Oryzias latipes: one gene and its partner. The protein of the gene in region 2 binds, or shares a complex with, the protein of the main gene of each other region. Links are inferred from orthologs where the notes say so. Each region holds a gene or a part of one and is shown on either strand. Other genes may lie near its edges. The genes, in order: rab6a and gcc2.

Region 1 (15,998 bases), on a different chromosome or scaffold from region 2:
TTCTGTTCTGTTGGTCGGTGGCCAAGTACCATCTATCAATGCTCAGGCTATTAGCTGGCATCAACATAGGAACCTCTCTGCATTATCTGTAATGCCTGGTAAAGCCCGGTATTGATTAAGTCCAATTATTTTAGCCCTTAACTAGTGATAAGTGTGGAGAATGAGAGTGGAGGGGACAAGAAGGACACGGGGAAGACTGGTGGGATCATGGAACAGAGGAGAGCAACGGGACAATCCTTGAGGAGTCTCTGTGGGGATGCCATTACATAAAACAACACGTACTGTACACAAAGGACACCATTCTTTTTTTGGACAAACAAAACTTTACACAACCAATCCATCAGTCTTACCTTCCAATCATGGTGGAGTGCTGCTGGACAGCTGCCTCCAGCAGCCTCTCCAAAATGGTCCATTCTCCCATGGTGATGGAACGATGGCAGAAATGGGGCTTGGGGAGCGACCCCTTCTTCCCTCAACCGACTCCTTCCTCTGCCTCACAGGACCAGCCTGTGCTTGCTTGCACCAGCAGGGGTTACACTAAACCCCTGTACCTCATCAGCTCCCCCCCCTGACCTCTACACGTCGACCTGGCCGGGAGTGTCCCCCGTGAGCGTGATTGTCTTCTGCTGGGCCCGTCCTGCTGTGCTCCCCCCCCCCCCACTTGGTGTTGAAGAGGTGGTAAGCTGAATGCCTCCCCCCTCCTCTTTCTCCCTCGATCTATTCCCCCTCCCCAGCGCAGTGATGCTTGTCCTCCCCCTGCAGCACCACTCTGTTCTGCACTACAGCATATGCTATAGCTCACTGTATGACAGCCATGATTGCCCTCTCTTTTCCACTTGCCTCTTTCTGTCCCCTACTTCTTCACTCCTTTCTCGTCCTCCTCCTTACCCCCCAATCACTTCAGCTGCGCTCTGTGCCATCGAGGCTCTTCTCCACCTGTCCTTGCATTGTATGCATTTGCCTTTCCTGCAACCTTGCCTCCTTAACATAAACACACATCACATGCAGCTGATTCTCCTTGGCTCATCTTGGCAATCGGCACTGTAAACACACACTCACACACACACACTCACTCCTTCCCTCAAAGACAGCTCTGAATCCCACTCTCACTCTTCCAGCCGAGGACAGCAGATCCACACCAGCACACAAAGCTCCTGCCTGCTAAATGTCATTTCATGACTGGAGGAATGGTCGCTCCCATAGCTCTGAGCTCTACACAGACCCATAAAAACCCGCGCACACACACAGAGTCACACACACACTGCCACACAGACCATCAGTGATAAATCAGCTGCCTTGCTGCATCCAGTCAAGCTGAACCGCAGCAGCTAGCTGCAGACCCGTTGTCCCTTGTTGTCCCCCTGGCTAATTTCAGCACAGTCCAGTGCCCAGAGTCATGTCTGCTGCAGGCAACAGGGAAGAAAAGGCGTCCTGTAAAAAATGTTTCTGGTCTCCATCATTTTGTGTCTCCTTGCCCCCTTCCCCCTTGCTCTCTATCCACCTTCACTCACTTCCTCTTTCTCTTCTTTTGTTCTGTGTTGATCTCAGTCCTTCCAACTAGCTCTGTGTCAGTGATCGGTCCCCATCTCTGCTCAGTGCTCTCCTCTCTATCTCTGAGCTTCTTTCTTGTTCGTTGCTCTGTCTCTGTCACTCTCCGTGAGCATGCAACACCCCCCCTCTCCTCCTCTTCTTTTCATAGATCTGCTCCCTCTCATACCTCCCGTTCCCTCCATGCTTCCCCGCCTCCTCTGGTAAATTTGCTTGGATTGCTATCCGGGTTGGTGGTTCACTTATGCTTGCAAGAATGCCTCCCACTGCTGTGCATGTCTCTGATGCTGCTCAGAATATACAGGTTGCAGATCATACTGTTCCCTCTGCCCTGCCTTCCCTGCAGTCCTTTGTACTGGTGCGAGAAATGGGCTGCACTTTAAATGCTCCCATTTTTTTATGTCCCACAACATCAAACAAGTGAATCCAGGAGGTGGATTGAATATTTGTCACTCTAGCATTTTACACTTATTTAGCTGACATTTCAATTTACCCCTTTTTTTCCTGACCCAATGCCTTTGCCCTTCCTGTTTTTCCTGTCTTGTCCTTTCTTCATGTCCTCCACACATCCTACAGTAATCCTTCATTCTCTCCCTGTCCCAAGAGAAATGAGCACTGTGTTGTACTTTACTGTGACATTGAAAGCTGCAGTCATTACACTTACATGAAGGTGGATCGGAAAAGTGATGATCGCCCTGCACTAAGCCCACAGATGCAGGGAGATGGATCCAATTAAATTAACCTGCTCACATCTAGCAGATAAACACTTTTTATCTTCCTAAAAAGAAAAACAAAAAGCCAAACAAGAGAATCCTACATTCAAAACGAAGAACTCCATGGAGTCATTTCCAATCTGTGAGTCATAACAGGTCTTTCCCATCTCAACGACTCAAAATTTGCCGAAGTAAATGATGCACTGACAAAGCATGTGACCAACACACCAGCATGAAGTCATAGCTGGAAGTGGTTCATTATTCAATTCATTATTGCTGCCCCTCTGTTCAATTGTGCGACTTTCAATTACAATTACAACTTTTTCTAATTTATTCTGCAGAATTAGATGTTCTTGCTATGCTTTGAAATAGTGGGACCACCTTCCCATTATCAATACATAACTGTTAACGTAAAAAAAAATGCACAAAAAAATTCCCCCTCACATGTGGAAGACAGGGAAAGAGCAGGACATGCTGTGGGGAGACAAATAGATTTTGTCGTTTCAGCATCTTCTGAGGGAATGGGAGGAGGTCTTTCCCCTCACCAAGGACATTAGCGGTACAAGGGCTAAAAGAAGAGAAGACGGGCAAGCTAGTGAACCATGATGGCTCCACTTCAGCTCCGCTTTTGGTCACAAACCTTGCAGCTGAAGTGCCAGCATCAGCTGATAAATGCTGTAAGAGGAGCTGGACGACACAAGAATGAAAGAGGGGCGCAGGTGTGTGCATTCTCTTAACTGACCTAGAACAGCTGAGGTAGGCAGAAATGTGCAGACTGTACTGTAGTAAAACACTACACATGTATTTATGTAAATTATATCTCAAACAATTTTGTATTGCTGCAAAAATTTGGGTTGTATAAAAATAATACAAAATATCAAATTAGGAGAATTTGCAATTAGCCTCATTGCATTAAAGTTATACTCAAATGAGGTTAGACCCAAGGAAACAACAACAATTATATTATACATTAGTTGTAATTACAAATATTACACAGTATGTTGTGTGAATAATCACGATTGTTCAAAGTCTGGACAATAAAGAATCATGCATGTCAAAATTTCATCCCTGGTAAAAAATTCCCATTTTATGTCATTATGATACCAAATGAAACATTAACATTTGTAAAAAGAGTACAAGATTTGATGACTATAAGCTGGTTGGAGAAAAGGATGTTCCACAAAAGCATTACAAATGTCAAAAGCCCTCGGTAATCAGAGCATTTTAACAACCAGGAATTTTTGAAAGCAAAAATGTGGAACATATTACAACAGATGTAAAAATCAGAAATTTTCTCAATAAAAGCTTTGACTTTTTTCATACAACTACATGCCATTTTTTTCTAAGCTACTTTTAACAAAAAAATGTTATATTAGATTTATCATAATTCTTTCATCTGGTAAACATAGCAGAACTTCAGCTGTGTACCTGAATAGTCCCCCATGAGACCCCCTTTATAATGACAAAATTTATAACTATTTCTACTATCTCTGCATCAAAACCCAAAATTTTCTGACTTAAAATTTACAAACAATCAATTAAGTCTATACACACTGTTATGTATTTAATAGAGCTCATGCAAGAATTTGGGTTTAATACCTAATATAAATAATTTAGGTTAAAATTTCATTATTGGTATAACTTTTATTCATGGGAAATCAGACGGATTTTAAAAAAAGGAGTCCTGAAAATAGAACATGTGAAATGAATAATAATAATAATAATAATAATAATAATAATAATAATAATAATAATAATAATAATAATAATAATAATAATAATAATAATAATAATGTGGTGTTAGCGCGCCCTCGTATGGAAACATGAAGTAATAAAAAATAGTATGGCATTTTTTTCCCTCCCATCCTTGCTGGTTGAGCACCAGCAGAGGGCGTGGTAGCACTGTTACACACGTATCATACACTGATGTGTCTACAGAAGAAGTGTCTGGAGGGGCTTGCTGGTAGCCATGACAGTCTGAAGTAATGCTCAGTTGGCAGTAATAGTTACCGACTTATCTGAAAGTGTGTTGGAGCTTAAAGGAGTTGTCATTGATTACCAAACTTTGTTTCTGAACTTTACGTATACCATACACTTGATAACAGACAATAGCTACTTAGTTAGAATTAATACTTAAGGGCGCCTTCTGGGTTCGTTTTTGGTTCCGTCGACATGTCTGGGGCCGGAGACTTCGGGAACCCTTTAAGGAAATTTAAACTGGTCTTCCTCGGGGAACAAAGTGGTAAGTTTTTCTCGTTACGGTTCCCTTTACGAGGAATGTATGTTATCAATATTATTGTGATAAACTTTCCTTTTGAAAACCAGAGTTTAACGGGATGCCTGGTTTTTCTTCCGCTTTGTAGTTAGCTAGCTAACATTAGCTGCGTTTACTTGAAACCGGATAAAAACACTGCTGATCATGCTGCCTGTAGTGTGGACGCGGACTCCGAGGATAATCACAGATCATTCTTCACGTTTTGATCATGTAATTCATTGTGTTTGCTGACTTGTCTTTTCACTGGTAAGATGTAACATGTTAAGAGTGGAAAGTTGTAAATTATTAAGAAGTAGTAGACAGTATATTATTTATTATGAGGCTGTTTCTTAACCTAGCAAATAATAGGCTAACTTACATGATGTATTTTTATTAAGATAAAGTGTTGTCCTAATCAATTTGTTTATTTTATTTATTTATGGTATGTTACCCTTCTAAATTCCTATAGTCCGCGTGAGCACAGGAAGATAACTCACTCTACCATACTCGCAAGAGTTTCCTTAAAAGCACACAGTAAGGATCCTAGATCCTTCCTCCGTTCAGCAACCTCCTGGTGGGTTTAGAATGTTTTCATTTGAACATTAAGTATTTGAAGGACCTATAATATTTATATCTAATGTTTTTATAATGGGATTTCTCCTAAGTGATTACTTCCAGGATTAGAACCAACAACCGTCTTACAGTCACAAACCATCACACATTTAATTTGTTTATATTTATTTTAGACTTTATTTATCTACAAATGTACAATTTATCTACATGCATACATGTTTTGCATTCAGAACATTTTCTGCCTAAGTGTTAGACTCAGAGCTTTCAGTAAGATAGTTATGATCACGTCCATATATCCGCTTTCATAAACCTGCTGGGAATTGAGTAACATAATAGAAATGTGGAGTAATACAGAGTAGAAGTGTTTCATCCTACGGAACGAGTCATCCAAAAAAAGCCGATAGTTATCGTCTGTGACCTCTGTGAACAGTCATGTTGGCCTGAGCCATGTCACTGTCCCCCTTGTCGCTCATTGAAACTGATAACGTAACTCGAGTAATAAACAGTCTTAGGACAGGAAGGATTGCCTAACATGGATATCCACTTCAATTGATTATTTTTTTAAAGAAATGTCATAAAGTCTGAACAGGTGATCATTAACATACTGTTTTTTATTTAGGATATGCCATGTTTGGGTCAATCTAGGCCACAATATTTAGAAATTCACACACAAAAAAATCCTGTTTTGAATACCTAGACCCCAGTCCTTTCTTCCGACTGTTCCTCAACCCTCCATTTTAAAATAATGTCATTCCATATCTTAAAAAACTGGACTATATGGATGCATTCTCTAAACACTTATCGTAGTTATCATATAGGGGTTATTTCTACACCCATTTGTTGATTCGACGTAATAAAATGTAAATCCGTTACTTGATAAAACCTGTGTTCCTTTCTTAAAAAAATCTACATTTTGTGCTCAATATTAAACAAAAAAATTAAATCAATGCATATAGATATTGAAAAGTTCAATTTTTCCCTTAATCTTTATTTCTGTTTTAGTGGGAAAGACTTCGTTGATTACCAGGTTCATGTATGACAGCTTTGACAACACATACCAAGTAAGACTGCCTGTTTTCCTAAGCATTAATGTACCTTGTATTTTGTCGTGTTAATTTAAAGCAATTATAGCTGTATAATGAAGTTCTTTTTCTCTTTCAGGCCACAATAGGAATAGATTTCCTATCAAAAACCATGTACCTTGAAGACAGAACAGTAAGTTTTGTGTGTTTCCTATCCTAACTTGTAAATCCTGTTTGTTGTTTTGATTGGCGTGGGTTTTGTGTGAAGGCCATGCAAAGCCGAATCACCTCACACGGTCGGTGAGCTTTTGTACAACTGATCTGACTGGTTAAGCGCCTGACTTTTTAAGTGTTCACTTCAAAAAGCACATGTAGAACATTGTAGTGTCCTGTTGTACCGTCGGGACAGGCCTCACTGTATTCTTTTTCCCTCAACTGAAGTTTTCTTCCTCTCCTTTCCTTTCCATCATCTATTAATCATCACATTTCTTTTAAATGAAACACCTTACTTGGTCAATAGAGGGGGTGACAAATGAAAGGTGACTGTTTATTTCTTTCCCCCCCAGGCCCAGACAGCTTACTCTCTCTGATGGTCATTCCCAACATGCACGTGTTACTTCTTTTCTATTCACTTTCTGTTTTTTCTTTTTTTTTTCTCCATTAGTCTGAAAGAATTTTCTTTCAATATTCGTTTTGGCCGCGTTGACTGGGTCCTTTATCTGTTTGTTTTCATCTTGATTTTGTGTTTTATTTCTTTTTTATTTTTTTCTTCTCTTTCATTTTTCATTTCATCCTCTTCCTGCCCCACAGATCAGGTTGCAGCTGTGGGACACAGCAGGACAAGAGCGCTTTCGCAGCCTCATCCCAAGTTATATTAGAGACTCTGCTGCCGCTGTTGTTGTGTACGACATCACGAGTGAGTGATTTAGCATCACTAGACTGATGGGACTTCTGTGCTGCGATCCAGCAGCTTTCACAGCTAAGCTACCTCACTGAATTTGGGATGAACTTTTGTCTCTCTGTCAGACGTTAACTCTTTCCAGCAAACCACAAAATGGATTGATGACGTTAGAACAGAGAGAGGAAGTGATGTCATCATCATGTTGGTGGGAAACAAGACAGACCTGGCTGACAAAAGGTAATTTCTTGCATCTTCTGTGCAGGCTTTCCCTTTTGAAGTCACATTTCGACTGATGACCCTGTTTTTCTGTGTTCTTCAGGATAACCAAAGCTATTGTTTATTTGACATTTTCCATGATTGCAAATGTTTACAATGATGCATTTGATTGACTTGTTAAGCGACGCTGTGTTTTGTCTAGTTGTGTATCTTTTCAACACCTTTATCTACCACAGGCAAGTTTCTATTGAAGAGGGCGAACGGAAAGCCAAAGAACTAAATGTAATGTTTATTGAGACTAGTGCGAAAGCGGGCTACAACGTAAAGCAGGTAAAGTTGTGTGTCAGTCGTGCTCTGTAGTCCTGCTGCCGATGCTGCCCTGGGCTTCAACTCCAGAAGCCTCAAATATCTCTAATAATCTGTGATCGCTGACATGATGACAGATCATTAGTGATTAAGCATTGACTACAAATCTGATTATTTCTAAAAATGTGATGGCATCGTTTGGTTAGAGAATCTAAATCTTGTCTTAAATGCATCTCTAGTGCTGGCTGTGGACTCATGAGGCTTCTGGTCTTCTGGTCTGGTGGCAGTAGCAGCGCAGCAGGAAGGGGCACGGCTTTCCAGTGTACTGTCAAATAATTATAGACTGTGCTGTTCTTTTGTTTTTCTCCTGTCTGCGTGTTGATGTGTGCGTCGGTGTGTGCGTCTCCCGGTTGTTTTGCGGGTGCTCTGTGATTGTGGCTGGTCACAGACAGATAACCACAGAGGAAGGAGAACAGAGAGCAAAAGAGATGAATGTTCTGTTTATTGAAACAAGTGCAAAGACAGGCTACAATGTCAAACAGGTAGAGGCTGTGCACCTTCATGTGTGCATGTGTTCATTGCACTCCTGCCTTTTTTTCTGATTGGCTTCTATTTTCCACAACATGTGCTCTGAACATCAGCTTGCAATGAGGTGCATGGACTGGCTTTGCAAATTCTCTCTATGTATTGGGCAACTTTTTATTTGTAAAATTTAAAATTGAGTGAGAGTTTGTAAACCACCAATAGACAACAATATTCAGTCGGTGCTGCAGCAGAATCTCCATGCAGACAAGATTCACTTGATGCAATCTTTTGATTGATGTGCATGATCGGGATTAAAAAACTTTTCAGTGGCGGATACTAATATTAATGAAACCTTAAAGTTGATGTTTGGCAAGAACTAAATAATAATAATTATTAAAAGGAAAAAATGTCAGTAAAGGATTTGAAGCCTTTAACATGATTGCACCAAACAGCATTGTAAAGATTAATGATTATTCGCCTTTAAAAATGTAATTAATAGCTTAAAACAACTAGACTGTAAATGGTCATTAGAAAACTGTTTTATTTAATTAGAGTGTTTACTGAAGCAGAACACATGTGCATGAAATTACACCAATCTGAGTCAAGAGTCTTTGTCCCAAGCAGAAAACTGAAGCCAAAAGTCATTAATAAAATAGTATTTGTTTATATCCAAACTCGGTTAGTATTTTCAACAAAAATAATTTGCCTTTTTGTCAAAGGCACATGAGTCTTTTCAGTAAATCAGACTATGACATTTGGGAAACCTTTAGGTGTCTTCCACTGTGCAAGTTTCTGCAGGACCTCTGAAAAATCAGATGCATGCAAATCTGCATTTCTTCTTTTACAGATGTCTTGTATTAAACATCTGTCTTTGACTCAAGACATTAATGGTAGATTCTATCCTCTGCAGCTTTTCCGCCGTGTGGCAGCCGCCCTCCCTGGCATGGATACCTCACAAGACAAGAGTCGAGAGGACAGTATCCTTTCTTTGCATGGCAGTGCCATGATCTGACATGAGTCTGGAGTTCACCTTGCTCTGTTTTGTCTTTCTTGTCATTAGGGCTGCACGATATGAGGAAAACTCGCGATATGCGATATTGGTGATTAATATTGCGATAACGATATAATTTGCAGTATATAAACAAATATCAAACCAACCAAAAACATCATTTCCATTTCAATGCAACAGTATAAAAATTATACTCCAAATGACCCTTGTCGACATAAGAGGCAAACATCAAACATAAAAGGGCTCATCTGATTGATCAACAACGTAAACAGGTCCTTCCGATTGGTTAAATGCGTAAAGGGATTTATTTCATTTATTCAATATTCCAAGCTGCCATGAGTTTGTTTTAGCTCATTTAACCCTTGTCCTATCTTAGATGACCCCACCCTTACATTGAGGTGTTCTCCCTACCATGACAAAGGTGGATAAAGGTGGAAAGATTTCATGTAATCCATGGACACCAGTGAAGATCACAAATCATTGAAGAAAAAAGGTTCAGAGCACTGTCTAGTGCAGAGGTGGGCACTGAGGGCCGCATTCCTGCATGTTTTCCAGCATACCCTGCTCTGGCATGTTCTAATTGGCTGGACACACCTGAACCAGGTAATCAGCCATGAGTAGGGAAAGGCTATCTTGAAATCATGCAGACACACCGGCCCTCGAGGCCTGGAATTGCCCACCCCTGGTCTAGTGGGTCTAGATGACCCAACTCCCAATGTTAAAGTGCCTAGGATAGCACAAGGGTCAAGGTAACCATTTATTGCGATTTTCAGCGTCTTTTGCGGTATGCATATTGCATAGCTTGATGTCGCGATAACGATAAATTTGCGGTATATTGTGCAGGCCTACTTGTCATCTGATATAATGTCACACGTGTCCACTGCCAGGGGGAAAGCCCTATTGCTGCACTTTAACATCTCACTTTTTAACTCTTGTGTCACTTAAAATGATTTTCTCCTGAGATCATGAATGATAGAAATCTGACTTTACAGACCCACACTGGATTAAGGTTATCGTACCATTGTTAGTCCAAATAGCCAATGCATTTTATTTGCTCTCTGGTGTTCCTTAACTCTGTGACCTTCCAGTGATTGACATAAAACTGGAGAAACCTCCAGAGCAGCCTGCCAGTGAAGGAAGCTGTTCCTGCTAATGGTTTCGCCTATATTAGTGGCTTTTTCGGAAAGCTATTTCTTCTCTTTTTCTTTCATTTTTTGTTTTGTTTTGTTTTTATAAATATATATGCACCCTTCTATATCCACTGCAAGAACACTACATCTGCTGTCCTCATTGTTGTGAACACGTGCTCTCATCCACAGACTCTAAAATGTACATATCACTAAAAATTTAGTATTTGCACTGCATGAATTGGACAGAAGAGTTTATACAGTTAAAATGAGTCTTTCTGCTGACACTCTGTTTAATCGTTTTTAAAGAGCAAATAGTGATTTAAGAGCAGTGAGCCAGTTTGGGGTATTTTTTGAAAAAAAATAAAGGAAATTGTCTTCTGCAAGTCATCAAATCAAGGTATTTCATAGTGAAAAATGTTCTTTGACATTTTTCATGTTTTGAAGTCATGTGGTTTGAGTTGATTTATTCCATGCAAAATCTGTTACCTTTTACCGGTATATATTATCATTGATAAACATAAACATCAGCACATTTAAATGAGTTAAATGAACATCTATTGGGTTTGAGTTCAGACACGCTTCCTGCATAATTATGGTGCTCTCACAGTCATAAACAGTAATCAGCGCTTTAGGTCAAGACCCAGGTTAGTTGTTGTAAAAGGATTTTTTTTCTCTCACTATTTGCAAATTCACACTGACAAGAAAAACCCCATTACCTTCTGACATGAGCACGCCAAGGTATCTCTCCCATTTACCGTCCTTCTCTTCATCTTAATGACCCATCAAATGGTTTTTTACCTTTTGCTTTCATTTTATTATGGTTAATCTTTGCTTTTTGCATAAACCCTTTCTTTTTAAAGATTATAATTGCGGTGTCATAGATGATTATTTAATAGTGTTTAAGGCGGGCATTTTCTCAACACCCACCTTAAACAGGATAGATATGCAGATTTATGCCTTTCAGAGTATAAGTACGGAGGACTTCTATGGCTTTGGGTTGGAGTAGATGAGTTTGGTAAGAACATTTTTAAAGCTTTGATTTTTTTTGGGGGGGGGGGTAATTTTTACTTTGAGCATTGATCTGTTGTTAGGGATTGATCAACATGTATTTAATTCATAGTGACTTGAAATATTTATTCTGTTGGATTCATGCTTCTTTTATATGACTGTTAATATCTTCACTTTTGGTAAAAAAAAGTCCCTAAGTCGTTAATAAAAATATGCATCTCTCTGGACTTTTTTTTTAACTGAATTTGACCATCTGCTGTCCCGTCTGCTACTATTTGGTGGTATCTTGATTATACTGACAATATTGTGCAATTTTTGTGTAAACTTATGAACGAAAGTACAATTTGTATAATATGGGTGTCCTTAACGTTTCTGTATGGAATGATTTTTCAAATGACAGAATAAATATACAATTTTGGTCACCATGACTAGAGTTCATGAGTATCATTCCCACAGCTGTAAGTCACATGCAATAAGGAAAATTGAATATTAACGGGACATTTCTAAGATTTTATTTTTAGGTAAAAAGGAAAGTGTCTTGTTAAAATCCATATTTTATAATTTCATTCACTGAAAATCACAAAAAAATAACTTGAAAATGTTCACTGACGAGGATAATCCCTTTAAAAAAGAAAAGCCCAAACTTATAAATGTTGACATGGCACAAAATGTAAATGCATCTGATGAATATCCAGGACATATTGTCTTTAGGTGATTGTTTAATTTTAAAATCAGTTATATGATGTTAGCATGCTGACCACTCCATCATTGCTGTGGTTTGTTTAACCTTTATTAGTTTAGTAATTTCTTAATGGAACTGGACCATTACTTAGTTCAAGACCCTCCCAGATCCTGCAGGTCCACTGGTGGTCCAAAAGGTCAGAACTAAAACCCAATGGCGAGGCCACATTCCAGCACTGTGTAACAGCTTGTTGGAGGATGTTATGGCTTCCTCCACTGTGGAGGTTTTAATGAAAAACTCGTTGTTTAGCTAGCATTTTAAGTAGTTTTTACATGTCTTCGTGTTTTTTATTTGATTAAGGGTCTCTTTGTCTCTACTGTTTGTGTGTGTTATTATTTTGAAATACTATTTTAGTTTATTTATGTCAAGACCAGTAGCGGTTCTAGGCACGGGCCGTCCGGGCGGTGGCCTGGGGCGGAAAACTGAAGGGGGGCGGCACCGGCGGCTCAGCCCTTGTAAAATATTATATGCACCACTATTGGTTTACTTATGTCACAGTTTGTGAGTTTGTAACAGCCTGAACCTGGCCGCGCCGCCGCCCTCGCCCCGCAGCTGTGCGCTCTCCTGTCTTTGAGAAGTAGACACAAATGTGTGTGAAGAAGAAGGGAGGGGGCGCGGGGGGAGCACGGAGCGCCACCGCGTTTGCGCATGCGCAAAACCTGGCGGGCTCATCTTTCAGGGGAGGCGACGGTCGCGGGCTTGATGAAAAAAATAAAAGTAAAAACTGCGACTGCGCCGTCATGTAGCGAATCAGCGCCCCTGGCTATAGCTGCACGCGCTCCTGCTGGAAATGTGTGAAGAAAGGGGGGGGGGGGGGGCTGCGGGGAATCAGTTCAATTGTGGGACGCTTCCAAATTAAGTGGCTAGGTGGGGACAAGGGCGGGGGTTTGAATCTACTTCATAAAACCTTTTTATAAGTCAGTCATAAGGTGACATTCTATAACCTACACTTTAATAAAGGTATAGAAAATATATTCTGCTTTTTTTGGGTTAATTTTGTGTTAAATGCCCAAATGAAAAAATGGCAACACAAAACAATGCTGTCACTAAGGTGACAGTTGGTTCAGTCGACGGACTTGATGTCTTCTTCGTGACGTGAGGACATTTATGCCAAACAAACGCCAAAAACATCTAAAATATGGAGAAAAAAAGGTCAAAGCCATCTGGTGCCCAATTTAGAAAGAAAAGAAAAGAAGAAGAGGAGAAAAGAGATAAAGAAAAGGGTAAGTCCTCACAGCTTGATGCATGTCTTTTCTAAATTCTAATGCTACCTGCCCTACAACAATGTTGCCGATGAAAACTTTATTTTGGTCGATGACCAACACTGAAGTAGGCCCAAATGTTGCAAATAGCGTCATTTTTTTTTTTTTTTTAGATTTTATTCTTAAAAATTTGCTCTGCCTTAACTTGTAACATTAGTTATGATTCATGTGTCTGTCTGCTCTGCTGTAACACAAAGGTTTTGTTGGGTTTTGCTGTTGTATACTAGTTCATAATGTTAAAAAAGCTGTGATGGTTACACAGCATGCTGCTGCTGCCATAAGATGCTAATGGGGCAAATAATTTGAGATTGGTCTTAAATTTAATAATCGTTTGTGGCAGCCTAAACGTTTTCCCAATGTTTTTTTGACATTTAACTGGGGATTTAGGGGTTAATTTTGAGCCTGCATATGAAGTTTATTTTTTATTTGTTTTACAAATGTGGGATTATATTTTTAGCCAATAGAATTTCCATAAATCTGAAGGTAGTTTTAAAAATGAATATTTACCATTTACTGCAAATCTATGGGGACAAAACATAATTCAACAGGTCATAACTGAAAATTTTCCAATCAAAGGATTGAAGACGGAAAATATGAGCTAATTTTTCTTCTCTGAAGTAGAGATCGATATAGAACATGACAATTTAAATTTCCAATTCATAAATGTTTTTAAAATATTTATTTTATATTATTTATTTAATATTGATTTAATATTTCTTAGCTAACTGTATTTTTGCCATGCTTATGGTCTTTTATTTTTTGTGTTCTGATAACTATTATAATGCTGTTCAGAATTCTGACATCTTTTGTATCCACTTCTTAATTTCAATGACAATATAACATGTCAGTTGACAAAGACAAACAAAGTTCTGTTGTGACTATGGGGGGGGGGGGGGGGGGGGGGGGCCGGGGGAGGGTCTCGCCCGGGGAGTAATTCAGGGTAGAACCGCCACTGGTCAAGACAGTTGAATATACCAGCAAATTCAGATTCATTTTAAATCTCGCGAGAGGTCCGATCAGTGGTTGCCAAGGCAGCGAACCCAAACGTACGGACTTCTCTTCGGATTGTCTAAAAAAAACTCGTCGAGAACATATAGGTTTTTGCCGTCAGGGTTTTATCGTAATGAGCCTGAACAACGCTTACTATGAGGCTCTTGAAATTAACAGGACAGCATCTGACGCTGAAATCAAAAAAGCGTGAGTTACTTTTAAAGAAATCAATCACCTGCTGCTAGCTCTGTCTTCTATTTGCTGCTTGCTTGTTTTGGATCAAGTCATGAAATTATTATCTGCGCAGGTATCGACGTTTGGCTGTGAAGTTTCATCCGAAAAGAAACGCTGAAGCTGGAAGCGCAGAGAAGTATTCCCTGCTGGGTGAAGCCTACGATGTCCTGAGCGACCGTAAGACTTCACGGTTCACGTTCTTTACCGGGCTGCTCCGTCGCTCACGTGACCTTTTAAAAATATTGTTATGACAAAAATGCTGCATTTAGCATTCAGTTCTTCAGAGCTTTGCAGGAATTTAAGAATAGCATAAAATAATCTCTAAATAAATGTAAAAGTACTTACGAAGAAGTAATTTTTTTTCCCTTTTTAATTAAAGCTCGTAAGAAGGCAATCTATGATAAATTTGGTGAGGAGGGCCTGAAAGCTGGCATCCCACCTGAGTTTGGCAGTGATGGGGCTTGGTCATCCAAATACACCTACCATGGAAATCCAGACAAAACATTTAGACAGTTTTTTGGAGGTGACAACCCATTTGCAGGTAAGAATAGCCCAAACAAAAACCCCACGTTGTATAAATACTGTCTTGAAAACCTATCCATTGCAATTACTAATGTTAATCTTTTGCTAGATTTTTTCACCAAAGATGCACCACTTCAGTTTGGTGTGCCGCAAACAAAACTGGAGAAGACGCAGGACCCCCCAATAGAGAGAGAGCTTTATTTGACTCTTGAGGATCTCTTCTTGGGATGCACCAAAAAAATCAAGATATCACGCAGGGTAAGATCTGCTGCATTCAAAACCCTAACCCTAACCCGGAGAAAGCAAAGAAAGTTAAACAACTTTGGTATATGGCAAAACCTTGAAAAATTTTACTTAAAAAAATCTCTGGGACAAACGAAGCCACACTTTCCACATGTTTAAGGCTTTTATTTTGAAAAATGATTTCACAGGTAATTTTTATTCTAACACTAACAACTTTTGTGGAAGTCATTTTCATTATTTAATAAAACAGTTACAATAGTTTTGTTCATTAAGGTTTTCCTCATCCTCACTTTCTTTACAGGTTCTGAATGATGATGGACACACATCCTGTATCAAAGATAAGATTCTGACTGTAGATGTGAAGCCAGGATGGCGCGAAGGCACAAGAGTCGTTTTCCCAAAAGAGGGAGATCAAGTAAATTCAGTCTTTAAGAAACTTTTTATTATGTATCAAAACTCACGTGAAACTAATTTATATTATTTTTTCTTGGTGTCAGCTTATGTCATAATAATATGATCCTATTGGTGTTTGTTACAATAACTCCCATAACCCCGCAAAACGTCCTAATATTAATCAATCAATCCATCTATATATCTTGCTTAAAATTGAAATTGCTTTAATAAGGAGTGTGTTGTAACCATTTTTATTTTTATTTCTTGAAAATTAGCTACTACTTACAAATTTTTGGGTAGTTTTCTTTCAATTAATTCGTTTACTTTATATAAAATTTTAGTTGATTTTCTATATAAAATAGTCAATCATATTTGTGTTTTTATTGGTTTGTTTTATTGTTTTCAAA
Region 2 (17,788 bases):
CTGAGGCTATGGTCAGTCTCACCTCTCCAGTTTAAAAGCATCTCCTTCACTCTGAGCGCTGGCTTTGTTTTTCTGCTGCTTGAGAACGTTGTGGACTCGCACTTTATAACTCTCAAACTCAGTTGTTGTTGCCAAAAGCTCAGCCTGGACACACAACCACACACACAAACACAAGCAATAAATGACCCCGAACCCTGAGGGATTCCAAGGAGACACATTTGTTGGAATTTTAGAAACATTCTTGGGTAAAGATTTCTCCAGAATTGTCCCTCACAATCGGTTCCTCTTTTATACCTGAACATCTTTGGCTTGTTAGATCATTCATTACTGATCTAAGATTCAAAAAGCATCATAAATGTACATAAATCCAAAGATGAGTGTTGTGCACTGAATACTTTTGAGATGTGAACCTTTTCTCGTCCCTCTTAAAAGTCACTGCTCACCATCCTGACCTCTTTTGTTTGGTGTTAATCCTTGGGAAACTCTTACTACTAAAAAAGAAATGTATATTTTTTGAATGGTTTTAATGTTTTTAATCTTTCAAACAGGCAATTATAAATAAAGATGGTTTATTTCAATTGTGATCCTTTTATTTTTAAAAAAAAAAACGTTTTGTTTAAAAAACCCTACTTGTTCCAGCTCCTAGCGTAGCTAATAGCTGCTGTCGACTTAGAAGCTTAAAAATGACATAGGTAGTTCTAGAACGCTGATGAATTGATAAAGATTTGAGAATAAATCAAGAATAATTGAGAGATTAATAATAAAAAGAGTCATTAGTCACAGCCTCATTTATCAATGCTCTCTAATGAGCAGAGTCGGTGCAGCCCTCTAGTGACAAGTATCTCCAACAAATAACTGCTGTTGGAGGAAACCTTACGTTCATCAGTAGAGCTGTTATACTGTACTTCATGTGTAGTTGAAAAGCAGATAAGTGAGCGTGTGGACCTTGGCAGCGTCTCTGTCCTGCTGCAGACTGTGTATGCGTTGCTGTAAGGAGTTGCTGGTTCTTTGCTGCTGCTCCAGCGCTGACCTCAGCTGCTCCTGCAGATGATGGCGCTCAGCTGTCAGCTCACAAATCTCAATCTGGAAAAAAAAAAAACATCTATATTTTCATTCATGTTTTGAAACTAAATTCTCATTTATCCATTTATTTATTGTAAAGACAGAAAGGAGAGTGAGATGATTCTGAAACCTTGGAGCTCTCAAACTGCTGCTGGTTTGCCTCCAGTTCTCCTTTCAGAGACGCCTGCTGCATCATGAGGGAGCTCTCCTGCACATGTGAGCATACAGAAATGCAAACATAAAAAAAAAAAACACACTCTAAACTAAAGCCACCAAAACACTAGTGACATCACAGAAACAGCCGACAGTGTTAAAAATGGAGTCTAGCACAGAAAAAAGGTCATCCTTCCAGACAAACAAACCTGTTTCTTGGCGTCAGCCAAGTCCTTCTTAGTTTTTACCAGCAGCTGTTTCATCTTAGAGCACTTCTCCTCTTCATGGTCCACCTGGGACTTCAGAGTCTCTGGAGACACATATGTATAAATGGGCATAAGCGCAAGTACAGTCATGACAAACACAAGATACATTTGCACTGCTTGGAATGACTTTAATGCATAGAAACCACGTTTGGAAAATGCTGATATTTGAATTTCCCTCGTCAGTCTCTCCGTGACACACTTCAAAGCAAACTGCAGTCAATTCCTTTTCCTGTTCATATCCTCTGATCTTTCCTGAACTGGCACCATGACCACAAAATAGACACAATCACACTGCAACATCTTTTTAAGCTATTCCTTCTGTGTATTGCTTAATTCAAGCTTAAACAGTCAGTGGCTTCAAGTTTGTCTGTGAAGTAACTTGGCATCCAAACAGTTTTGTGATTAAGTCTAAATCCTCCCCTTCCACCACCGTGCTATTCAGATCTCAGTCCTAAGACTTTTAAAAAAAATCTGTTTTGCTTAACAAATACTAAATACTAAGAACAATGATCTCTATTCTGTTCTTGTTTTGTCCAAAGACAATCTGTTGATTTGAATGTTAATTTGTACATGTGTGTTCCGTTTTCACTGAGAATAGGATTGACAACAGTGTTTAGTTGTGTTATGTTCTTTGTAGAGAGAACAGGTTTTCTGACAATAATGCTTAATTACATGTGGATCCTCTCATTATCGACACTTATTAATTATCAATATGCTAATTTGCCTTTTTTCAATTTTCTGTCTTCAAATGAACAATTATCTGATTGCTGCAAAATCAGTTTATGGAAAACAATCATTTTTGATGAAATGTTTTGCCATTTTAATGTTTTCATTTCCTAGAATAGTAATTAAAGATGCAAATTCAACACAACCTAAATAATTTGGTGATAACTTTCTGGAATCCAAACTGAGTAATTGTTAACAAATTTTAAATTTAACTAAAGTGCTGATATTTGAAAAAAGTGGAATCCTGTAGTGATCCAAAAACAAATGTATTAAAGCTGGCACATCAGAACACAGACATATAAACATTGTGTAGAGCTACTATTTTTGGTGAAAAATGAAAACAAATGAGACTTCAATGAAACAGAAACGTTTCAAAAGTGATCCCTACCTATTTCTTTCTTGAACGCCTCCTGCTTCTGGGAGAGAGTGTTTATCTGGGCTTTTAAGTCCTTAATCTGCTCGTCTTTGTCTGCATTTTTGCCATTGAGTTCCTTCACCAAACGCTCATAATCAGCCATCTCCATGTCCATCAGGGAGTTCTGCTGGGCCTCCTGGAAGAACATTCAACATCAAGTCCAAAAACCCAACAGAAACTCCAGTCGCAAAGAAACAGAAATGCCCTCAACTTCACATTTCATTCACCTTTGTCAAAGGATTTTAACATCTTCCAGTAATACAAATCCTTAAAACGATTTATAAATTTGGCCTTTATGTTTGCTGTACGTGGTCTATGTGTTTCTGTGGATGTTCCAGAGCTTTTTTCTATTCTCTGTCTTCAATAAATGACTCCTGTTGCTCATCAAAGGAATGGAAACAAAGCTGCTGCATCAAACACACATGCACTTACTAAAACATCCAAAATAGAGAGGATGTGGATATCTTTCTGGATTCTAATAAAAGCACTGTTGTCCTGTGTGGAATAAGGAACGGTGGCTCTTAGTAACAAATCACATCAATAAATCTCTCAACACAAAAACATATTAAAGATCATAATGTCATTAAAAATATAACAATAAAAAAACACCACATTTTAGAAATCAAAACAAAATTCTAAAAACCAAAATGTAAAAAAAATAAAATAAAATCGGAGAGCAAAAGAAACAGTCAGAAATAAAAGAAAATGTTAAAAAATAAAACAGAATAAGAAACTGGAAAAGGTAGGAACTATGTTACATCACTGATTTGATGATGACACTTGAGTTTTTAAGAAGAGGGGCGGTTTGGGCAGAAAGATTGTCTGCCCAAACTGTGGTTGATTGAGCGATCACTAACTTTTGCTGTGGTTGTAGATTAGGGTTAGCTGCTCTTTGTTTAAGTCACCAGTAACATTCATATTTGTGGTTTCAGGCGCTTCGTACCAAATAACTTCCGGTTGAAGTTAAAGCTGAAACCATCCAATCAGTGATGTCCCTTAGCACCTACATGTTCAAAGTTTTTATTTTGTTTCTTTTTATTTATGAAAATTCCTTTTGTTTACCAAAATGTTTTTATTTTGTTTCCTTTTTTGGTTGTGTTTTGTTTTTTGGGATTTATGCTTGATTTCTAAAATGCAATGTAGTTTTTTTACAATTTGTTTTGCTTTTATTGTTTACTTGTCATTGAGATTTTTAATATGTTTTTGCCTTCAGCTATGTCTCGATGTGATTTGAACTTCAGGGCCACCGTAATAAAGAGCTTTAAAAACAGGCCTGAAAAGAGTCAGAGAGCAGACAGACTGTTTTCTCAGGCATTACAGAATTGAAGGCAAAAAAAAACATTCTTGTTAAACAGGTGCATTTACAGACACTTTTTTATTTTTTTAAACCTAAAAAAATAAAAATTAGCAAATAACTAAAATGATTTTCATTACTCAATGCAAAAATTACAGTAACGCCTAGATTTTTCGTGTTTGCTTTTCTTTTTTCTTTTTGAAACAAACAAAAAATACTCTCAAATATATACTATTGCTTATCTATAAACAATGAAATCAGCCTCAGATTCCTTTGCTAGCATAAGAAAAATGGACACAAAATAATGTCCAGCCTGCAGGCAGCTTCCATGTATACTGCTGTACTATGTAGGTCTCCATTAACGTGAAAGCAGCAGAGACTCCTTCACTGTGGGCTACAATTGCTCTATCTCTGTCAGTGGGGTCCTACTCCAGCTCCAGGCCAGCCATCACCGGCTCAGCCGCTTGACCGGGCAGGACCTGTGGCACACACTCCAGCCTGAGAGGCTTTTGTGCGCGCATACCTTGCGCAGTTGCTCCAGCTCCTGGGCAGTCTGCTGAGACTGCTCCTGTTGCTTGCGGAGCTTTGCTGTCAGTTCTTCCACCTCCTTTGTGGCAGCTGCCAAGTCCTGGAGAAATGAGGAAATTCCTCTTGATGAAGCCGCATTGGATTTTACAAAGGCTCCCCTAAAAACATGCTGTGTAATTCTGCCAAAAATGTTAAGCAAACCTCTACCTTAAGCTTTTGCTCTTTCATTGCTCTCTCAGCCAACAGATCTCTGTCCAGACTTGCTATCTGTTTCTGCAGCTCCTGGTTTTTGGTCTCCAGCTGCCTCACTGTGCTCCTCGCCGTCTCCAAACCGGCATTCAAGTCCTCCTTTTCACTGCTTAGTGCTTCCCTCTACAACAGTGAAGATACGACTCATCACTGTCCCATGAACTAATCAAGATTTTGTTGTGAATTGAAGCAAACATTCAGTAGGTGATCTAATGAATGTATTGTATTTAAATCTCAAACTGAATGAAAAAAAAGAAAAAGGCTCTGTCTCCCTTTTGTCCAAGGTTTTCTCCATAGACTTTAAACATCTGAAACCTGCACGAACAGACGTGACACCGCTCAAAGCCATCCAAGTGGATCTGACAGCAGAGAGGCTCTGAGGGTTTTCTCTGAAAGCAACACTGAGCAGCCAGCTTCATCTCCAATCGGCTGCCAGCCAAACTCTGAAAATCATGATCGGTAAACAGAGACTCCGAGTTTCCTAAGCAGCATCAGTTTGCATCCCTCCGCACCCCCCAGAGAACCTTGAGTGCATATGAGAATAAAGCTTTGTCTCAGAGAATGGTGTTGCACCACCACGCAGCAGATGGGAGCTATAGCCCGCTACATTTACCCGCCTGCTCTCTCATTGGAAAGAGACAGTTATGGGCTTAGGGGGAAAGGAGTATATATAAAAACAATTTCTCCCTTGCTCACCCAGTCACATCTGATGGGCTATTTGTGAGCGCCGGGCTGTCAGACATATCTCGGAAAAATGTTGCCGGCTAAAATGACCCCCTGTAAATCATTTGGAAAGCCAGCAACAGCATAAATATCGCTGAGACCTATCAAAGCCTCTGCGCATAGATTTACTGGAGGCTTGGAGCATCGTATGTATTGGTTAGTAGCAACGTGTGTGCGTGTGATTGAGTGCGCATCCCAGTTACCTGTGTGACAGCACTGCTGAGTTGTTTGGTCAGCTCAGCAATCTGTCTCTCCGCTGCCTCCACCTTCTCCCTCTGCAGATCCAGTTGCTCCATTCGTTTGTCATAATCTATTTGCAGATTCTAAGCAAAGACGCGGAGCCGCACGTCCCTTTATTATTCATTACAGGCGGAACAGTTCACTGAAGGTAAACACTGCATCTCAGTTTTTCAAGCTGCATCCATGTTCCAAGATGGGCCAAAAGTCATTAGACACAAGAGAATGGTTTCTGCTTTAATGGAGTCACAGCTGTAAAGCATGGAGCTGTTTATAGTCCACTGGGAGTAAATACTGCACACCAAGTCTGCTTAAATGGAGCGTGCTTTCACTTGTTGTAATTAATTTAATAAATTCGAACGGTTTAATTTTAAGTGAAGTTAAACTATGCTTTTAATTTGGAGACTCTAAAACAGAAAGACACCAGGATCCATCCATGACAGAAAGAGAATACAAGACGAGGATGAGTTGGAGGTACAGTGCTGGAGAGTCAGCTGGAAAACATGCAGTTACTTTTATCTATTTCACATTTCCAAATTCTTTTTTTTATTAATTAAAAATCCACAATATAAAGAATAAATCTAAATGTTTCTTTAGACAAATTGATTAGGATTTATTATTATTACTATTTACAAATTCCTAAATCAATATCACTTTTAGGGTTTAAAAAGAAAAACATCTTGTTCTGTATTTAGGCCTCTTTACTATCGTGGAATAGATCTAAAGCTGTTTGTCTTAGACTTCAGGTTTCTTACCTTGTAGCCTTCAGCACTGTGGATGATATCCTTCATTGAACTGTTTACTTTCTCCCTTTCTGCTTTCAGTGACTCCACTTCCTCTTTAAGACTCAAAACCTGCAACAAAAAGGAGTTTAGTTTGTGGAATCTACCCTTAAGTGATTATTCAAAGTTTGGTCTTTACAGACAAAAGAAAGAAACGACTGACATAAGGATGAAAGAAAACCAAAAAAACTAAAAAGATGCGAGTATATTCCCTTTGGGAAAAGATAAGAGCAATAAGGTAATATTATAAACATATCTACCAGGAAACAGGGAATTTCACTTTTTCTTAAAGTGTCTTTAATCTCAGAATTTTTAGGGTTTTATTTTTAAATACCAGTTCCTTAAAAAAATAAAATGTAATGTACTGGTAGTTTTTCATGGCTTCCACTATTTCTAAATTACTACTGATCCAAAACAAAGGCGTCTCTTTAATTCAAACTAAATTTTGTTACTGGTTCTTGAATCTTCAAAGCACTAAAAAATTAGCCTCATTATGGAGTGGATTTTTCACACTACCTCTTTCTTATGGATGTCCAACTCTTTCTTTGCTTTGAGAGCAACTGCCTTGATTTTATTCATCTTCTCACCCTTTTCCTTGATTTCTTTTTGTAGCAAAGCTGAGGGGAAAAAAAAGAATGGAAAAAGTCATGAATCTATACATGTAATCCCACATATAGCAGTGCAATAATACATCGAATATCAAAACACCTAGCCTGTCTGTCATCTCAGATGTATTTTCCTCAGAGGAAGCAGACTGGACAGCAGATTCCTTTAAAAGTTAGAGGGTAAATTGAAAAAAAAAAAAAAAAAAATTAAAAACCTTTGGACTTATTGATCTGATTATATAATATGTTGAAGAAAGGGGAAATCATGCTGTGGAAAAGCCTAATGCCACTCCAACATGAGAAAACAGCCACACCCACCTGAAGAGCAGCCACCTCCCCCCTCTGCTGAGATATGAGCGACTCCTTCTCTGTTAGCTGATCTCTGAGCTCTTTGCTCTCTTTCTCCAAGTTCTCCATCCTTTTCTCCATCTCCACCTTTGCTTCATTCAGCTGAGAGACCTGAGCCTGTAAGGTCTGGTTCTCATCAAAAACGGTTTCATTGAGCGATTTCATCTCCTGAAGGTCTCTCTGGAGCCCCTCCATGTCATGAACCACCTCCTCTAGGTTCCCTTTCAGCATGTCTCTCTCCTTCTCCAGGTCTCTAATGTGCGTCTGTAGATCCGTCTGCATCTCCTCAGCTTTACATTCATTCTGAGCTTCCTCTAGACTGCTCTTCAACAGGTTCCTCTCTTGCTCCAGCTCACCAACACGTGCTCGCAGCTCTTCGACTTCATCAGTGGAGTTTTGGAGTATTTGAGACTGCTTTTCCTCCAGCGCCTGCATGGATGCGTAGCTTCGTGCTGCATCTTCTGTCGCTAATTTCAACTTTTCTTCTAGCTCTTGTTTTACAGATGCTTCCTGCTTAAGCTGAACTTCCAGAGCTAACACCTTGGAGCCCAAAACGTCCTTCTCTTTTTGAGCATTGGAAAGTTCCACTAAAATGTCTTCCAACCTTTGATGGAGATTATCCTTCTCATCAGACATTTCTTTGATTGCTGCTTCTAACTTAAAGAACATCTCTTTATTCACCAGCTTTTCTTTCAGGCTTTCTTTTACTTTTTCTCGTTCTTCCTCTAGTTGTTTCACTTTCTCTTGGGTTTCTGCTTTCAAGCTTTTCAGCTCATTCTCTTTTTCCTCTCTGAGCATCAGAACCTCTTTAGCTTTTTCCTGCTCCAGCTTTTCCATTGCTTTTGTTTGCTCTTCGTTGAGGTTCCGCATTTCATCCTCTTTGAGATTTAGCAAGTTCTGTATTTTGTCTCGCTCCTCTTTCAGCGTGGCGACAGAATCCTTTAAATGTTGAATCATGTTCTCCTGCTCTTCCAGTTGGGAGCGGATCTGCTCATTCTGCTGGGTGAAGTCCTCCACCGATGGTTTGGATTTGCAGGCTAAAGGAGTTTGCTCCTCCTCAGATGACTGCATTTCTTGGTTTTCAAAGGGTGGACATTCCAGCTTCTGCCTAAGGTCTTGTACATCCTTCATCAGAGCATTTTTCTCCTCTATAACTTCATTCATTTTGCCCAAAACGTCATCTCTCTCTTGACTGAGCTTTTCAATGGTATCTCGAAGTTCTTGGACTGTACTAGCTCCCTGTTCTTTCATAGCTTGATATTGTAGAACAAAATCTTTAGTCTTCTCACTGAGCTCCGCTTCAGTGCTTTGAAGAATGTTCCTCATGTGTTGGCACTCAGTCAAAGCAGAGTCTCGCTCTCTGATCAAGGCCTCGCACTGGGTTCTTACTTCCAGGCTCAGATTTTGCTGCTCCTCAAGTTTCAGGGAGCTTTGGTCTTGTGCTAAGCTAACTGTCGACTCTTTCAATTCTTCATGTTGATAGTGAGCATCTAGAATCATTCTAGGTTCAGTGGATGGACTGTCCTTAATCAGCTGCAGCTCGTTGATCTTGAACTCCAGCTCTTCCCTTTCCGTTTGGAACTCTTCCTTAGCTCGTTCCAGCTCTGCTTCAAGCTCGCCTTTCAGGTTGCTGAGCAGCGTGAGCTCATCCTGTAACATGGTGTTCTGAGCTTGAAGATCCTCCAGAGCTGCTGCCAGCCTGCTGCTCTCAGAGTCCTCCCCATCGCCAGAGCAGTCTGCCTGGGTTTTCCTTGACAGTTCCAGCATTTGTGCTATTCCCGAACCACGGGGAGGTTCCTCATCCTCCTCCTGAACGTCCTGCAGGTAGCTGTCTGAAAACAACCAAGAAAAAGGATTGAATTCATGTTCATTGGACTAGGTTTTTTTCATTATTTACAAGTAAGTTGGAAAAGTTGATGAAACATGGAATTAGGGGGCTGCTGTACCTTTAAGAGCAAGCTGCTCCGTGAGCTCCTCGTTGAGCAACAAGAGACGCTCCCGCTCAAGCTCAAAGTCCTCCTCCAGAGTTCTCATTTCCTCTTCATGGTGCAGACTTTTCTGTGACAGCTCCTCCTTCAGGTTCTCCACCTCCTGCTGGGCCTCTGTAAAGCCCCTTTGGTAGTTCTCCTGAATCTTGGAAAGCTCTAGAGAATGTTTTTCTTGGATATCCTCCAGCTCAGCTTTGAGTCTTTCCAGCTGAACTTCTAAGTCCCGCCGTCTTTCTTCTGCCCTCTCTTTTTCAATGGCATAATCCGCCTGCCGCTGTTTTTCTCTTTCACTCTCCCTCTCCCTGTCTCTCTCTTCTCGCTCTATTAATAAATTTTGGAAATGAGACACCTCTTCCAGGTGTTTACGGTTGGCTTCCTGAATGCTGCTTTCCATGTTCTTGATCATCCTTTGAAGGTCTTCCATGACACGCTCATGCTCACTTTGAAGAGCCGCTAAATCCTCCTGCACAAAATTACAAACATGCGTATTTGGCATTGCAACTAATCACACTTACAAACAGACAGGTAATCCATTAGAATTTGATAAAACTGTCATTCTGTGTATCTGTAGTGAAGATAACCTTAGCTTGCTGTTTAGTCTTCTCCAGTTCTTTACGCAGGAGTGTAACATTTTGCTGAGTTTCGGCCTTCTCCAGTAATAAGGCATCCATCCTCTCAGTCAGCTCCTATATCGCACACCCATCCACACAATTAAGTGTGAAAGTAAAATTTTTTTGACAGAGGGGTATCAATAACAGACAATGCAGTCACTTTCTAGACACAAACCTGAAACAAAGCAGCGTCATCTGGATTGCCGTCACCGCTTTTAGATTGCTGTTGTTTGAGGGATTCCACTTCCTTTTCTAAATCTGCAAGGGCAAAGTCACATTCAAGAAAACGACTGCATTTATGACGGACAGATAAATAATAATGTACAACATTCATAGCTACCTGAACATTTGCTCTTCATCTTTTGCATGGCAGCTATTTGCTTTTTGGCATATTTGATGAGGTCATCTTTGGACAGCGTGTCCAGCTGTGAATGAACAATAAAATAAATAAATAAAAGAAATATCAATATCAAAGCAATAATTTTTACTTTTCAAGACCCAAGAAAATGTTTGAGCTAACCTTCTACACACATAGTCATATAGCCCCAGTTAAGCAGAATCAACTACTGTGGTACTAAAAACCCAAAATGTGATGTGCACACATGTGGACAGTCTCAATATAACGTCATCAACATGCACACAGTGAATATTAACAAAGCTAACACATAAACAGAGAATTATAAGTAAGTTTCAGTTGAGCAAAAACGGGAGTGTATTTGCTGAACATCCTTACCTTTGATTTTGATGCACCTGCTGATGATGGAGTCACAGCCTCAGCTGCAGTACCTCCAGGTTCCTTTAAATGCATGACGAAAAACCATTCAATGTGTTGACATTTTGGAAAAAATCTCAAACAAAAGTTGTTTTTATTTGATAGTTTGGATTTTTAACCCCTTTTTGGGGGGGAGTGGGAAGAAATAAGTAAAGTTCGTCGAAAAACAGAAAAAATGCTCACCAAACCCTGAAGCTACTTACTATTTCCTCGAATATAAATACTACGTTTCATTAATGTGATAAAATACAACTCTGATCACTTTCAACGTGACCATTACTCGGTTTATATGACTTAAGAAGGACACGGAACTAACTTTGAGATTGCTAAACTGAGAAGAGCTGATTAGCTAACAGCTAACAGCTCGACATAAACATTTACCTCCATCCTGACAGTGGACTCTTTATCTCCGTCACCGTTTTCCGTCACACGCAGAGGTAACTAGTAGATGGCTAAAGAAAACCAAATAAACACCTAAAAATACTTCTAATACTCCAACTATATAAGTCAGAGGTACTTCCACTGTTATGATTCTGAAATAGCAGACTGGAGCAGCACTTTACTTCCGCAATCGTCAGCCAAGCAAGTGACGTCAGAATTATTCACATTTCGAGGTAGGAACCTCGAACCAATTCCCGATGTCTAAGACAGTTTATTTATATTGTGTATCCCCCTGCATTTTATAACACTATCCAACTCTGAAATTGTTGTTTTCCTATGTTATACTTTTCCCTGATTTCTCTATGATTATGAATATAAATAGGTTTATGTATACATACTGACAAGAATTTTCCTTTTCTTTTTGCTTCCTTTCAAATTGTAGTATTCTCTTTTGTATTCGCCAAAAAAAAAGGAACTTCGAAACATTTCATTCTTTGCTGAATTTCAACTTTATAATACAAATGTCGTTTTTTTGGTTTTCCTAATTTTGTTTGAAAAGGATCGTGACGTTTTATACTTTTGTGTATTTTTATTTATGGCAACATTTGATATTCACAAAAGTAAATTTGCTAACAAAAAGCCTGAACATTAACATACTCACTTAAAATCATATGGAACTTCAGCTATGTTTGAAAACAATCTCCTCTTTGCTCAACATAAAACCTTAAAAAGTTATCAAAATGTTTAGGGCTATGAGGTTCAATTTACATAAATCCAAACTTTGCTCTTTAATTGTTTATTTTTGTTTTTAATGTTTGTTGTTGGTTTTGTGTGTGTATACTAAGATTTATTATAAGTTTATTATTATATTGTTATTATTATTATTGTTATGGTTGTTGTAGTTATTGTTGTTATGTTTTCATCTTGTTGAGTAATTTCGAATAACTTTGACTCAAACGTATTTTTGAGTTATATTGTGTTTTTGCACCATATTAATTTATATAGTATTCTTTCATTCATAAAAATGGAAAAAATTAGAAAAAAAAATTGGAAACGTGTGGTCAAAACAAATTCCCTAAGTTTTTCTGTGGTAAATTATACTATGTAAATGGTAAACGGCGTACACTTATATAGCGCTTTTCTACCTTCTTCGAAGGCCCAAAGCGCTTTACAGTCACAGGCCCATTCACCCATTCATTCACACACACATTCACATTCACACACACACATTCACACACTGATGGCGGCTCTGCTGCCAAACACTGACGCCAACCTCCCACCAGAGGCAAGGTGGGGTTCAGTGTATTGCCCAAGGACACTTCGACACATAGGTGGGAAAAGCGTGAATAAAACCTGCAATCTTCCAATCCGAGGTCCTAACACTGCATCACGCCCCCCCCCCCCCCCCCCCCCCATATAATGTACATCAAAATGCACATTTATTACAGTATTTTTTTACACACTGTGCACATTAAAAAAAAGTTTTTTGAATCATTATTCAAATTATTTCAACTGAATAGAAAAACAGTTCTTTTCATCGTGTTGGAGCATGAAATCAAGTCAGCTCTGATGTGTTCAGCAGATTTACTGTATAATAATAAAAAACGAAATCTGTTTTTATTCAAGGCACCAAAATTCACGCATACACTCCTATAGTTCACATCTAGTATTAAAAAGATGGTTGCAAAAAATATTCTCTCATTTGAGAGATTCTAAACCCTGAAATAAGGGTTTAGAATCTGTCTATGGCAATCCATGATGCATAAAATATACTAAAGGTGTCTGATGTTGACATTGTTTCATCACTCTGACAACAGGGTTGTCAGAAAGTCAGTGGAGGCTCTGTATTCCTATCACATAAGGTCCAGTTCCATCTGTTGAATATGGAGATCGCCTGTTTTGACACAACTGATGGAGGCACCAACTGGGAGAACTGAGCAAGATGCCGCTCATGCTGACAAAGCTGGCACGGTCTGATCAGAGGGGCAGAGACTCTGTCGACTCCCTGTCTCATCTGGAAGAGACCCATTGCTGCCTTCCACCCTGCCTGGGTCAAACATACCCATCCATCAATGGCTGCTTCCTTGTTTTCTTTTAGTGCATCCACCAGCATTGTGCAGTGATTTCTCTCCCCCCACTTGTGGCCGTCAGTCAAGCACAGCTCTGCAGTAATATAACTGACACCGGCCGGCGTTAAGGGAGTAATGAATGAACCGGCTCAGTCTATCTGGAGGAGCAACAGATGCTGTTTTACTCCTGGTATTTTTAGATTCTCTTTCTGATTTTGCTTTGGTAGCTTTGTTTTGGCATTTGCCACATACTAAATAGAACATGGAGCATAAGACATTCCATTTATTGACATAAACCCCACAAACACAAAAAGTGTATCAGGTGCTCTTCTGATGTTTCCCACTGGCAGATGTACACTTCCTAACCTAGATGATGTTAGGGATTCAAAATGCCAATTATTTCTCCTGATTCTTCCATTCAATACTTGAAAATTAACATTTTTTGTCCAAAAACATGCTTCATAGGTTAATTGGTTACTCTAAAATTGTCCCTAAGTTTGAATGTGAGAGTGCATGGGTGTGTGATCTGTGGCCCAGTGGCAGACTGGCGACCTGTCCAGGGTGTCCCCTGCCTTCGCCCATGAGTAGCCGGGATAGGCTCTGACAGTCTCTTCACCCCGAAAGGGATAAAACAGGTTCAGAGGATTAATTTCTTTTTTGTAATTTTGATTTTTGATTCTATTCAGAGTTATATCTAAACAGATACAGGTGTGGATTATTGCATTATTAAAACAATAACCAAGTAGGCTTTTAAATTCCTTGTCTTAAAAAAAGCCTACTTTTTTCAGGTGATCTTATTTCCCAGCTCTTATCTCAATAATTATTGTATGTATTAGAATGAGAGTTGAATATAATGAATGATTTATATTATTGTGTAAATGTCTGTGTTGCCTGTTCCAACGTATGTTTTATGATGGTGTAATGAATACACTGTATGATCAGATGTGCTGATGTAAAAAATGTTTAGAGGGAAATTTCAATTTTGAAGATTTTCTTGTAGATCTCAATCAGAACGTGAAGTTCTTGACTCCTTCAGTAACAAAACAAAAATAAAAAATCAATAGATTGCAAACACAGAAGTGTTCCATTACCCTTTACTATATCCACCCTCCCCAACATTCTCCCTATTAGCCAATCAGTGAATGGTGACTGATAGTTTTGAGTTGTTGACCCCTGCGGTTTGACGGGAGTTTAACTGTGCAGCCTCTTCAGACAACCAGAAATTATTACATTTCTGTAATTTGAAAAATGTTTGCATGTACAATAAATTGAGAAACAAGTGGAATAAAATAATGGAAGTCAACAAGATTTTTTTTGTTTGCAGTGGTGATGGACAGGCTGACAGATGAGGTTAAGCGGGAATGTTGGTAGGTTTGAATGCTGACAGTAAAAATATGTATATCTTATAAGCAATTTGTGAGATAATTAATTTTTCTGCAGTTGTAAAGTATTATAAGGATATCTTTTCAGCAGCCTTTTTTGCTAAAGTGCTCATTCACATTTTTATTTCAACCCATCCCCATTCACCCAGCATTTACATGGCTTCACTCTTCTCTTTATGTCTCCTGTATTTCTTTCCTTATTGACATTTTACTTCTGCAGAGTGGCAGTGCCATTAAGAAAACTGACATTTTAACATATAGCTTTGACATTTTCATGTATTAATGTGGGAACTGAACCTCTCAGATTGTTCTTCTCACAACATGATGCTGTGAGCGCGAGGTCACTAATAATTGACTTCAGGATCTGCATTCCCAGAATATGAAAGACTGTATTGTTTGAGCTCCTGTTAATTATGTTTATGTAGCAGCTTAATAGTATAGGCTGCATGTCAAAGTCTCAGGAGAAAGCACTCCATTATTGCATCAATCATTAATCTAGAAAGATTTTTGCTTTTCCTTATGAATGCATAAAAATGTTTTAAATATGAACTTTACATAAGATGCTGATTTAATTTTTTTGAAAATGCCAAAACATCAAAATTTTAATAGTTGGAAGGTATCTTTGAGATAATCCTATGGTATTAAATGATGTAATTATTTACAATTATAATAGAAAAGAATAAACTGGAAAAAGATGATAGATTACTGGATCCTGTGTTTCTGTGTAAATATATCAGTTTTTATTTTGCTGAGAGCCAAACAAAAGTCCATTATATGTACAGTACAGACCAAAAGTTTGGACACACTTTCTCATTCAAATAAATGGGAAGGTGTGTCCAAACTTTTGGTCTGTACTGTATGTCCCTGTAAGTGTGTGTTTGTAGTTTGTATTTTATGTTTGCATTGACCACTTGAGGGCAAAAGCCTTTTGACCATATCTGTATTTGTACAATCATGGATTTTTTGATTAGATCAAATGTTGTGAAAGCGACATTTATTCCTTACCATCTCTGTAAGTGTGTAGATGTGTGCTAGTGATCCAAGGGATGCTAGTCCATTATTGATGATGCATGCTGTCTGCTCGGCGTCTGATCTAAGGAGCACGCTCCACAGCTGACCTTTGATCAGACCTTCGATCCGACTCTCAGAATGTTTAGACTTTTATAAAAACAGATTTATACAGAATGTCAGTCTCAGCTGCGCAGGGTCATCCTCTTTTGTAATGGACAAAAGTGCTTGTTAGTGATGCTGCCCTGTATATTTACATGTCTCCATTGCAAATGCTGTTTTACATACTACAAATGTGAAACCTGTTTTTTTTTGTTTTTTTGTGAACGGATGCAAAGTGAGAAAAAGGTGATCAGGAAGAAGGAACCGACAGTGTTGCAGTTTTGTCCTTCCTGCCCCCAGGCTGTCCATGTTGCTGTATAAATAGTTTGGTGGCTCAGCAGGAGAACAGCACTTCATCAAGGAAGATGGCAACAACCTGCATCCGTCTGCACTTACGCTCCCGCTGAGCTCTGATTACAGCCTCTTTTCCTAACACAACTCTTTGCTTACACATGCTTACTCCAACCTTTCAAAATCCTGTACAAACCCTTATTAATGGAATTTTTGAAACAAAATGAATATGTATGATTGTAGTGTTTAAGTGACAATAAGAAATAGGGTTACGTAAAGTGAAACAACTGAGTGGTGGAAATGAATAAACAAGAGATGGGACTCTCTAAAATGGCTTATGGAAAAGTGAACAGAAGGATACAGAAGAATCCCTCAAAGGGTTCAGTCCAACTACCTGCCAACAACATGGAAGCTCATCCCAGGCATCATTGTAGGCACATGGATCAATGCAAGAGCAATGCACTGAAGAGTAGTGGTAGCGATACTAGGGGAGCCAAACACCAACTCCTAGTTAACAAAATAGTCACTCAAGACTGAAGGTCATGACACACTAACCCTCTGCAGTGCCTGGATTGATTACAGGATAGCCCATGACTCAGCACCACACACGTGGAAAACTGAATACTAGGAGCTGTACAAAATCGACCAGACTCTAAGAGCCTTTTCAGCAAACTCAATGAGGTTGTAGAAAACCCCCTTTTAAGCCAATGCTAACGTTCTTGCACAAGTGTCCATCAAATGTGGCATAAAACAAGGAGTTGCTCTGTCTCAGTTGCTGCACAGGACAAACCCTGAGCAACAGAGCCACAGAGGCCCAGATCTATCACACAACACAAGACTCAAGGTGCAGGCACTTGCGACAATCCAACACATAACTGCAGGGTGTAAGATGCTGGCAGAGAAAGCATACACGGACCAATTGGCTGGAATTGTATATGGACTTACAGTACAGACAAAAAGTTTGGACACACCTTCCCATTCATTTAAATGAGAAAGTGTGACCAAAGGTTAAGGTCTCATTGTCTATCAAGAGTGGTGGAGAACAAGTGAGCAAAGATCTTATGGGACTTTAAGATACATACAGACAGGATGGTAATGATGAACCAACCAGACATGGTAGTTGAAGATAAAGAACAGAGGAAAGCCGTTGTGGACATGGGGCAGTAACCCCTAAACTGGTGGAGTGACTACACCTAATTTCTAGGAAGACCTCAGACCTTAGACAGGAGCCTTAAGCTCCCAGGTCTTTGTTGGAAAACCACACACCAGGGTGAGTAGAGAGTTTTCATTTTTGCCAGAAACACAAACACACGGATGCAAATACAAACAAAGCATGTGCAAAGCAGAGAAAATCTGGTTTCTTTTGCTGCAGCAAAGTTAGAAACAAATAGTCAACAGCTCTAAGAGCAATGAGTCAACTGGATTTACTGCTTAGTGTTACTGAAACACTCTGCTTCTCTTTCTTTCTGTCCCTCTGTCTCCTTTTTTTGTTTCAAGCTATTCATCATCTCTCCAGTGGAGATGTGGCCTTTCCTCTCTGGGCATGTTGTGCAGTTGTGTGTGGGTGGTTTTCAGGAAGACATAACCCTCATTGAATGTATTTCTCACAACTGCTCAGTTTCAATTAGGAACTAATGGAAGTGCTGGCTAACCCTCAGCTCAGCATCCAGCGCACACTGCAGAACCACAGAACCAGCACTGCATATGCACACAATTCCCATGTTGTTTGGCAACTCAGCAACTCCACAATGTCTCTCCAAGAAAAAAAAAGTCTGTGGGTTATAAGTCTATGATGA

The links.
Region 1: the proteins of gcc2 (region 2) and rab6a are in contact, whole or in part, in a crystal structure (PDB 3BBP), measured with the Homo sapiens proteins. The link is inferred for Oryzias latipes from reciprocal best matches to the Homo sapiens genes GCC2 and RAB6A. Residues at the interface, in NP_852118.2 of Homo sapiens: Thr1585, Ile1588, Leu1589, Glu1591, Gln1592, Leu1595, Leu1596, Glu1599, Arg1602; in NP_942599.1 of Homo sapiens: Lys15, Ile46, Gly47, Ile48, Trp67, Arg74, Phe75, Ser77, Leu78, Ser81, Tyr82, Asp85.

Annotation. Positions count from the first base shown.
Region 1 is NC_019872.2:16,400,735-16,416,732, forward strand, and holds rab6a (ras-related protein Rab-6A), read left to right. Parts: upstream 1-4,185; 5' UTR 4,186-4,433; coding exon 4,434-4,503; intron 4,504-4,762; exon of another isoform or gene 4,763-4,782; intron 4,783-6,090; coding exon 6,091-6,149; intron 6,150-6,249; coding exon 6,250-6,303; intron 6,304-6,920; coding exon 6,921-7,026; intron 7,027-7,136; coding exon 7,137-7,248; intron 7,249-7,463; coding exon 7,464-7,557; intron 7,558-7,981; coding exon of another isoform or gene 7,982-8,075; intron 8,076-8,968; coding exon 8,969-9,035; intron 9,036-10,155; coding exon 10,156-10,220; 3' UTR 10,221-11,633; downstream 11,634-15,998. Other genes in the region: gap junction delta-2 protein, read right to left, coding at 351-421; dnajb13 (dnaJ homolog subfamily B member 13), read left to right, coding at 14,333-14,406, 14,507-14,610, 14,813-14,974, 15,065-15,213, 15,500-15,613. UniProt on the Homo sapiens protein: The small GTPases Rab are key regulators of intracellular membrane trafficking, from the formation of transport vesicles to their fusion with membranes.
Region 2 is NC_019879.2:17,160,774-17,178,561, forward strand, and holds the start of gcc2 (GRIP and coiled-coil domain-containing protein 2), read right to left. Parts: upstream 11,544-17,788; 5' UTR 11,147-11,543; coding exon 11,141-11,146; intron 10,784-11,140; coding exon 10,721-10,783; intron 10,413-10,720; coding exon 10,328-10,412; intron 10,246-10,327; coding exon 10,163-10,245; intron 10,063-10,162; coding exon 9,958-10,062; intron 9,840-9,957; coding exon 9,335-9,839; intron 9,221-9,334; coding exon 7,359-9,220; intron 7,205-7,358; coding exon 7,144-7,204; intron 7,053-7,143; coding exon 6,952-7,052; intron 6,508-6,951; coding exon 6,409-6,507; intron 5,740-6,408; coding exon 5,620-5,739; intron 4,817-5,619; coding exon 4,652-4,816; intron 4,545-4,651; coding exon 4,440-4,544; intron 2,759-4,439; coding exon 2,596-2,758; intron 1,526-2,595; coding exon 1,425-1,525; intron 1,271-1,424; coding exon 1,193-1,270; intron 1,084-1,192; coding exon 946-1,083; intron 145-945; coding exon 23-144; intron 1-22. UniProt on the Homo sapiens protein: Golgin which probably tethers transport vesicles to the trans-Golgi network (TGN) and regulates vesicular transport between the endosomes and the Golgi.